Linked DNA regions of Drosophila melanogaster. The protein of the gene in region 1 purifies or fractionates together with the protein of each later gene. This does not show direct contact. Each region holds a gene or a part of one and is shown on either strand. Other genes may lie near its edges.

Region 1 (4,624 bases):
GAAACCCTATACCCTAAGAAGAACCCCCTATGAAAAACGCCCTATGAAAAAACCCAGTTTAAAGATGCCTTTTGAAAGCTAAATTTCAAGTAAGAAAAATTTAAACAAAAAAATGTTGAATATCGAAATGGAAGAGTTGTACATTTGTGTAGTTTATCACATTTTGTAATTGTATGTAATTTTATAGTCATTCGATAGCTAGAGGCATTAATAAAACAACCAATTTGTATATAACCTACTGAACCGAACAGACTCGACAAGCCGAACATGAAACACGTAAAAGAATTAAACAAAAAAATAAAAAGAAACAGAATGAACTAACTATTCAAACTAACGACAAGTAACCGAAACCCTTTTGTAAAACGATATATACATTATACATATATATTTGCACAGCAAACAATTTATATATTCATATATACCCACGTATATGATCCCAAAAAAACTATAGAGAACCCAAACATTTTGTATATAAAAATATCTAAGCTAAAACGAAATCAAAATACGCACACGAACATTTTACTCATCAACGCACGTTTTCGCATTTAGAGAGATCCTGGGCAGCAGAAAATTGCGATTAGCATCCTGCCAATTTCGTGGAACATTTTCGCAGGATATGATCTCAAGTTCCTGCTGCCAGCGATGGGCTAGAAAGGCAAACGAAATCCCAAGACAAAATCATGACCCACATAGACCAATCGCCTGGAGATCCTCATGGCAACCAATGTTCCTAGTTTCCAGCGCGTCCTTCTCCCAAACTCAGGGCTATGCTGTCAACAGTGGGCATTGACCTCCATTTGGACTCCGGCTTCTAAAGAGACCCCGTGTCAAGAAGGATCACTCTACCCAAGGCCAAGATCTCTCCCACGGCCAAGGGTTAGATGGGATAGCAGCCAGTGCGCCAGCCACAGGTCACTGGGCTCGAAATCAATCCTTAAACTCCATCCCGACACTGGGGCCTAGACATTTCAAGCATTCCTGATACTCATTTCCAAATTACCAATAGACATTGACCATCGAAGCCAGCTCTCAAAGAAAAGAAAATGGAAAACGTGCGTGCCACGAGCATTGAACAAAACGAAGCAAGTGTCCTATGCCGGTGCTAAACCAACCTACAAATTTTCTGTATAAAGAAAAAATGTAAAATGCGTATACAAAAAACAAAAATATTATGAATTCATAAAAGAAGAGATTAATTCTTTGAAAAAAAAAAATCGTAAAAATGCAATATGCATATTGACAAGTGACGTAAGTCCATCCAGTAAAAGATACCTATTTTGTTGTTAATATTTTTTGATAATCCTAATTATATTTGCCTTATACTTATCCAACTTGTTTATTACAACTATTTTCTATTATTTAATGCTTGGCCAATTATTATTGAGAAAATACATACATTTATTTATTAGGCCTATGAACGATTTACTATGTATAAAATTAAGTTTGATTTAAATGTTAAATTTGTGTACTTTGCTGCTTCTATCTGGTTATGAAATAATTAGCCGTTATCGAGTTAATATAATTTATGTAGCATTTTAAGATTTCCTTTCTTGTGAACAACTGTACCTTTATATGCATTATGATTATTAAAAAAAAAAAAAACAAATAAAAAATAAAACACATTGTTTTTTTTATACCTTTGAATTTATGTCTGCAGCTCTATTGACATAACTATATACGTTTTGGTTTTACAGGTTTCATGCTTATCGATATTTTATTACCTATCTTGTTTAATTGACTTTTGATCGAGCGCTACGAGATTAATGCAATCAGACTAAAAAAAAACAAACAAATTTTAAAAGAGGAAATTTATTAAAATACGATTAGATTGCTTCCAGCGCGTGTCTATTTTTTTGGCATAAATATAGGCCCCTGCGTTAATCTGTAGCCCATAAGCTTCCAACATGTGCCCAGTAACTACATTTCTTGTCCTCGTGCTGACCCTGTTGGTTCTGGTCTACGTGTTTCTGACATGGAACTTCAACTATTGGAGAAAACGTGGCATCAAGACGGCTCCCACATGGCCATTTGTTGGAAGTTTTCCCAGCATTTTCACAAGAAAGCGAAATATTGCCTACGATATTGATGATATCTATGAGTATGTATACAATATGAGTGAGAAGGGCAAGCTATAGTTATGTTGTATAATAGTGGAGTCAAAGCGCAGTTTATACTTAATGGGTGTAAAAATCAGAACAGTCTTCTCTAGAGCTAATATAAGTTACTTTTTGATGTGAACTTTTTGTTTTTGCAGAAAGTATAAAGACACGGACAATATGGTGGGCGTTTTTACCACCCGAGTGCCCCAATTGCTGGTCATGTGTCCGGAATATATACACAAGATCTATGCAACCGATTTCCGTAGCTTTCATAACAATGAATGGCGTAATTTTGTAAGTACTCGTAAGTTTAGTAAATAATGGATAATCCATTACTGAATTACAATGTTCATAGGTGAACAAAAAGACGGACATGATATTGGGCAACAATCCGTTCGTGTTAACTGGCGACGAGTGGAAGGAAAGAAGGTCGGAGATCATGCCAGCACTGTCCCCCAATCGAGTAAGGAACCACATTAACCATCTATCCAATCAAAATTCTATCTTTGAATTCCGTAAGGTCAAGGCCGTTTATCCAGTATCGCAGAGCGTATGCAAAAAGTTCGTGGAATATATCAGGCGACAGCAGCAGATGGCCACCTCCGAGGGATTGGACGCCATGGATCTGTCTCTTTGCTACACCACCGAAGTAGTTTCCGACTGCGGACTGGGAGTATCGGCCCAGAGTTTCACGGACACTCCCACGCCGCTGTTGAAAATGATAAAGCGTGTGTTCAATACCTCCTTTGAGTTCATCTTCTACAGCGTTGTTACCAACCTGTGGCAAAAGGTGCGCAAGTTCTACAGCGTACCGTTCTTCAACAAGGAAACGGAAGTGTTCTTCCTGGACATCATCCGGCGATGCATTACTTTGAGACTGGAAAAACCAGAGCAACAGCGCGACGATTTCCTCAACTATATGCTGCAGTTGCAGGAGAAGAAGGGCCTGCACACGGATAACATCCTGATAAATACGATGACCTTCATTCTAGACGGATTCGAGACTACGGCTCTAGTTCTAGCGCATATTATGCTGATGCTGGGACGTAATCCGGAGGAGCAAGATAAGGTCCGCAAGGAAATTGGCAGTGCGGATCTGACCTTTGATCAAATGTCCGAGCTTCCGCATCTGGACGCCTGCATATATGGTGGGAAATTCTATCTTGATCTCTTGATATTCAGTTTCTTTAACTACATTATAAAATTTTATAATTTTAGAAACTTTGCGTTTGTTTTCACCGCAAGTTGCAGCACGTAAGCTGGTCACCGAACCCTTTGAGTTTGCGAACAAGAACGGACGCACTGTGCACTTGAAACCCGGAGATGTGGTTACTATACCGGTAAAAGCTCTGCACCACGATCCGCAGTATTATGAGGATCCTTTGACATTCAAGCCGGAACGTTTCCTTGAGAGCAATGGAGGTGGTATGAAAAGTTACAGAGACAGGGGTGTTTACCTAGCTTTTGGCGATGGACCTCGTCACTGTCCAGGTTGGTGTTATAAAAATTTATCTGAAAATCACATACTACAATAAGTCGATCTCTACATTTAGGAATGCGATTTGCGCTGACTCAACTTAAAGCAGCTCTGGTGGAAATCTTGAGGAACTTTGAAATCAAGGTTAATCCTAAAACCCGCTCGGACAATCAGATAGATGATACTTTCTTCATGGCCACCTTGAAGGGTGGTATTTACCTGGACTTTAAGGACCTTTAAATAATAGCAATAATCATAGTAAGCTTTAAGCTTAAAAAACTGGATAAAGAGAAGTTGTTTGCTCGAAATAACAAAAATTAAAATTAACCTTGATTAATGCATGATAATAAAAAAAAAATAAAATGCAGTAGAGATTTATTACTCAAGAAAGGCAAATGTTGCGGATGATCCACAACAAGGCTCGATCGAACATGGTTCGACAGTGATGTTGCATGCGCAACAAGTTCGATTGCTAGTGCGCAACATGTCGGTTGTAGGTTGGCCATCCGATTTTAAATACTTGCAAGATATAAGATTTAATTGAGATTTTATAATAAAAAGTAATAAGAATTATAGAATTATAGATCAAGGGGTGTATAAAGAATATAAAGAAATCGATTCACCATCATAGGCATCTCAAGGCTCAAGCTCAAGGGCAGTTTTGGTGGAGATCGTAAGAAATTTCGAAATCAATGTAAACGTCAAGACGCGATCGGATAATCGACTGAATGACATCTGCTTGACGTATTTTGAAGAGCGATAGTAAAATGGCTGAAGTGTTGTTGTAAGTGTTGATAAGATAATGCGCCAATTAAAAATGAAATCAGAAATTTGATTAACTACTTAGGTGCTACACACATTGTTTGTCCAGAGTATCTATACCCATTACTCGTTAAATGAAAATGGGTATGTTGTATTCCTAGAAAAGTATGCAACTGATAGATGGACCTTCTGAATACGACACATTGTTTTTTGTTTTCATCAAGCATCGCACTTTGCAATCCTACTTATTTATTTAAAAGTCGATACATTGCTATTTTTCCTTTAA
Region 2 (4,930 bases), on another chromosome or scaffold:
AATAAATATATAATTTTTTATGCGAACTTTAGAGCTAATCGAGTCAACTGTAATGCCTACATCAATAAGGACATTTTTAAAAATCTAGAAAACCTATACTTTTATGCCACTTGGTTGTCTGTGAAGGTAGTGTTCGCATGTAACTAAGGCAAGCTAAGCAAAGTTCAAAATTTTCGTCGAATGAAATTCCAAATTTGTTTCGTCTTCAGTTTCCGGCAGACAAAGTCCTCATTTGGACACCGCCGACATCGCCATCATCGCATCTGATTACAGCAATCCCATACACGCTACAGCAGACTGCCTAATCCCCTAGAGAACTGGTACTCGATATCCACAAAACTGATGATCATCGAACTTTGCCTGGAATTTCACTTGATGTGGGAATTAAATGTTCGCATCTATTTTATGCGAATGAGAGTGGCCATTGTTAATCAACTGGAGCCAATTGGGGACTTCTCCTACTAGAATTATTCATAATATCGAGCAAATTAACTATCCAGGATCAGGGTTAACTAGACGTCCATTTGTTCAGGAGCAAACTGGCCAAAATGTCTGGATCGAGGCGACGCCGTACCGTTATGGGATACTACGAATACATAATGCCCGGGATTTATGAGTATCCTTTGATCCAATGTGATGCGAGTGCAATCCGTTCCTATAGTATTGACTCCATAATGACCAGTGCTTCATCAACTTGGTCAATTCCAGATAGCAATGCCGCCTATGTAGCTGGACCAATGGGCGTTATCCACTATCAATCGGATATGCAAACGCACTTGGCTCTGCCAACTAGGCAAAATCTGGAAACTGGTCTTATATATCCAACCATTGAATCCAACTCATGTTTCCATGAGCCAAATCTAGAATATGTTCAAATGGAGAATGAGCACACCGATGACGACGAGGGATACGGCTATGAAATTCCCGAGATTGTTCTCTGCTTAAACCGTTCAAATTCAGAGTCCGGCGCAGCTGAGGAATCTGGCGATTCGCAGCGTTCGTCAAAGAGTTATTCATCGGTGGAGATTAGCGAGCAGTCAAGATCGGGGGAATACGTTAAATTAGAATCGGTTTTCAGGAGGCGAAGAAAAGTATCGCAGAAGCGCAAATATACCACCGAGCAGGGTTACCTGGTTGAGGAACCCACCAGCGAACCATCTGAGGAGGATGCCGAGGAACAGGCACCAAAATCCAGAAAATAGATATCTCATATTTCAGTTCAGCATCTACGTTTGACTATAGAAAAAAAACGTTACCCTCTTTGATTTTTCGTTGGAATTTGTAGTGATCAAAATATATATATTTTATAAATATTTATTTGGTTAACTTACATGTGTATATGATTAGCGATAGTTGTATGTCGCAAGGTAAGATATAAAGGCAAGACAAATAACTTGAAAAACAATGTTTTTCACATGAGTGCAAATTGATAGACCACCATATTGCACACAGTAGCACCTAGTCGAGACCCAATTTGTACTGCCAATGAGCGACTAATTTAATTATTCGCACATGTTCAAAGACTTTACTCTCGCGCAATGCCAAAATCACATGGAAAACTTGTCTCCCCGGCTCTCCGACTGTCTCTAGCTGGCTCTTTCTGTTTTATATAGCCTTCTCTCTCGCTTCTTAGCGCCCCCTCTCTTTCTGGCTGTGAGGCAACCTTCCATCGACAGTCGCTCAGTTGTTATACGGCTTTTGTTGCCATCGGACGTGACTTGTATTTATTTATTATTTGTTTCGTCGACGGGGGCAGCGAAATCGAAAACACTCGCTATAAAATAAACAAAAAACTATTTTTAGGCTGCAAATCTGAAATATATTTTCTCGATCAACTGCAGCAGGAGCATAGAGACGCCACCGCACCCCCTCCCTAAAAATGGACTGCAAATCGCGACGCGGCACCAAAATATCGGTGATCGCCCTGGGAAGTGCCCTCTGTTTCGTCATGATGGCATACTTTGTGTTCGGCGACAGCAACGACGAGCAGGGTTTGCGGAATCTACGCATGATATCCATAGTAAGCTGCCGCCACTTCTGGCATAAAGTTGTAAACAACGAGATCTGAGCACTGTGTTTATCAATCCAATCCAATGCCCACCAGCTGTTCCGACATGGTGCCAAGAATCCGAGTGGCTTCTATCCGTTGGATCCGCACGCTGCCCACGACTGGCAGGGCGGGATGGGAGCCCTCACGCCGGTTAGTATTCGATATACAATAGTATAGATTAGGATATGGATCCTACCTAAACTTTAAATTCTTTCTCTTAACTCAAAACGTATAAGTGATAACACATCAATTTTCAATAGGGCTGATCAAAACTGACACGCCCATTCTTTTGGAAATTTAAAAAAAAATTGTTTGATTTTCGTACTATTTGATATATTATTGCTTGCACTAGCTGAGAAACTAGACTATAACGCTCTCGTTTATGTTTATTTATTTTCCAATTAACACATTTTATCGTACGAATTTTTACACTTTAAAGAGTATTTATTAAACGGTTATCATGTAAATAAATAATGTCAATAATGTAAAACAGTGTGTTTCATTGCATTTAAAACTCCAATTTGGTTTTAATTTTATGATCCAAAATGATCAATGAAGAATGAATTATAGATGCAAGTTGGTGATATCTAAAACTTTAATGCTAGACACGTAAAACATACATTACTATTTAATATATTTTAATAAAGATATTTATATTCTACAAATTTCTTAAACCCCCTTTGACAGAAAGGCAGCCTGCAGGCGTACAACCTGGGAAGGAATCTGCGCATGCGCTACTACCGTCTGCTGCCTCCGAACAGCCTTTACACCCAGCAGCAGGTGAATGTGCTCAGCTCGGCCGCGGAACGCTGTGTGGTGCGTCAATTGTTTCGATAAGAAATCCTCTATAACTCTATTTGCTATCTGTCCGAGATGGTGGTGCCCTAATCAGTTGGCCGTGTGTTATCTTTTAGATGAGCGCCCAGAGCGTCTTGGCCGGCATGATGCCGCCGCTGGAGAACAAGAATGTGCTACCCATTCCCTGGCAGCCGGTGGCCGTCAATACGCTATCTCGCAATGAAGATATCGTGAGTGCAATTGTATATTTCCATTAGTCAAATGCAAGTCATCATCATAGTACTATGATCTAACTCTATTAGCTGTTGGCCCAAAAGAAACCGTGCTTGAAATATGACCACATTCTGCAGAAGCTTTACAAATCTCCGCCTCCTGAACTCCAGAAACTGAACGAGGACAACATGGAGCTGTACAAATTGCTAACCAAAAACACAGGCAAGGTGGGAGAGAGTTGCACCCATATTGGTTGTTAATTCCTTTATTGCCATACGATATATTTCACTTTTTCACTTCTGATATTATCATATTATCCTTTAGAACATTTCAAATGTACTGGACGTGGAGCTACTCTATGGCACACTCAAAACCGAAGAGGAAGCTAATCTGGTGCTGCCCGATTGGACTGAGAATATATACCCCGAGGAGATTAGGCCACTAGCTGAACGTAGCTATATGCTATTCACCGAAACAAATCTAATGAAGCGGATTAAGGGTGGCGCTTTCCTTACGGATATACTCAACAAAATGCAGAATAAGCGCAAGAGGAATCTCAATCCCGATCGCAAAATATTCCTGTACTCCGGTCATGATGTGACTTTGGTTAACGTGATGAATTCCCTGGGCATACTGGACCAGACTACCAAGCTTCCGGAATATGCATCGGCATTGGCCTTCGAGCTTCATCACAGCAAGTCTTTCAGTGATGGAGACTTTGAAGTGAAGGTTGGTATTGGTAGCGTATTACTATTAACTATGGGATTCTTACCAGTTTGGGTTGTTTGGTTGCAGTTGGTTTACTACTACAACAGCGAAGACAAATTCCCCAAGGAGCTGACCATTCCCAATTGCGATGCACCGTGCTCACTGACCCAGTTTGAGGCCTCTGTAAAGGCCCTGCTTCTAGATAACTATGATGAGACTTGTGAAAATCATCCGACCGATTGCAAAACATAAGATGCCTTCCAGACTTTGTTGAAAGTGTGTGTCGTTCTGGGTTGTTGTTTAAGTGTCTGGCCATTGCTAAGAAATAGTCAGATGTGATTTTGGATAATTTTAAATAATTGGTTTCAATTAATAGCTTTAAAATAAAACTAAGTCAAGTAGACAAACTAAGTAATGCAAGGTGTAGTTATCTCAAAAAGACAAATACATACATATATGGATGAGATATTTCCAGTGTTCTCTTCTAATTACATTAACTGAATATGCATATATTTAGATAAGAAGGCTTTTCTTCACATTTCACATTTTGGAGTTCAGGAAATCAAATCAAAAGCTTGAGCCCTTGTCCTCAGGATATAGAAAGTATATGGGAACTTTTACCGTCTCGCTGACATGAACGATCTCGGTGTGACTAATTAGACGGATGGCAGCCAGTCCATAGAAGAGCATTGGTAAGCCTGTGTAGAATTTAAGGATATAAATGCGGTCTTTTGGGAGTTTGATTAAACTCGAATGAGGACTTTCCCATATGCATTTCGGGATTCATTACAGGGCATACACCTTTTTCGAGTTACCACGGACCTATGTAGCATAATCCGTTTACTGGACTTACCCAAATTAATCACCTTAAGGAAGCGAAAGAACTTGTCCTCCAGCCAAAGATCCTGCACCTCCCTCTTGCTACAGTGGTACTTCATATAGGGATAACAGGCGGTGCGAAGAATGTGATAGTTGGTTCCGTTTTCCAGGGTCCAATTAAAGTGAGACATTCCCCTCTGATCGTTGGCCACATCGTGAAACTAGACTTGGAGCATATTTCTCATTAGATCTGGTGAAAATATTGGGGCGGAAAAAGGGGAGTCTTACCTTCACGAAATATGATGTCCAAGGTGGCTCATGGCATTGTTTCAAATATGCGGT

The links.
Region 2: the proteins of Cyp28d2 (region 1) and CG6656 purify together in Drosophila melanogaster (affinity purification with mass spectrometry, with the first as the bait; one large-scale study listed by BioGRID). This does not show direct contact.

What each region holds. Positions count from the first base shown.
Region 1 is NT_033779.5:5,205,404-5,210,027, forward strand, and holds Cyp28d2 (cytochrome P450 28d2), read left to right. Parts: upstream 1-1,863; 5' UTR 1,864-1,904; coding exon 1,905-2,098; intron 2,099-2,254; coding exon 2,255-2,393; intron 2,394-2,454; coding exon 2,455-2,562; intron 2,563-2,619; coding exon 2,620-3,247; intron 3,248-3,317; coding exon 3,318-3,590; intron 3,591-3,652; coding exon 3,653-3,816; 3' UTR 3,817-3,942; downstream 3,943-4,624. UniProt on the Drosophila melanogaster protein: May be involved in the metabolism of insect hormones and in the breakdown of synthetic insecticides.
Region 2 is NT_033777.3:21,873,611-21,878,540, forward strand, and holds CG6656 (uncharacterized protein), read left to right. Parts: upstream 1-1,682; 5' UTR 1,683-1,879; coding exon 1,880-2,020; intron 2,021-2,104; coding exon 2,105-2,200; intron 2,201-2,737; coding exon 2,738-2,866; intron 2,867-2,964; coding exon 2,965-3,078; intron 3,079-3,150; coding exon 3,151-3,288; intron 3,289-3,385; coding exon 3,386-3,790; intron 3,791-3,856; coding exon 3,857-4,021; 3' UTR 4,022-4,178; downstream 4,179-4,930. Other genes in the region: CG31178 (uncharacterized protein), read left to right, coding at 549-1,202; CG34148 (uncharacterized protein), read right to left, coding at 4,337-4,467, 4,623-4,809, 4,877-4,930; P5CDh2 (delta-1-Pyrroline-5-carboxylate dehydrogenase 2), read left to right, coding at 4,888-4,930.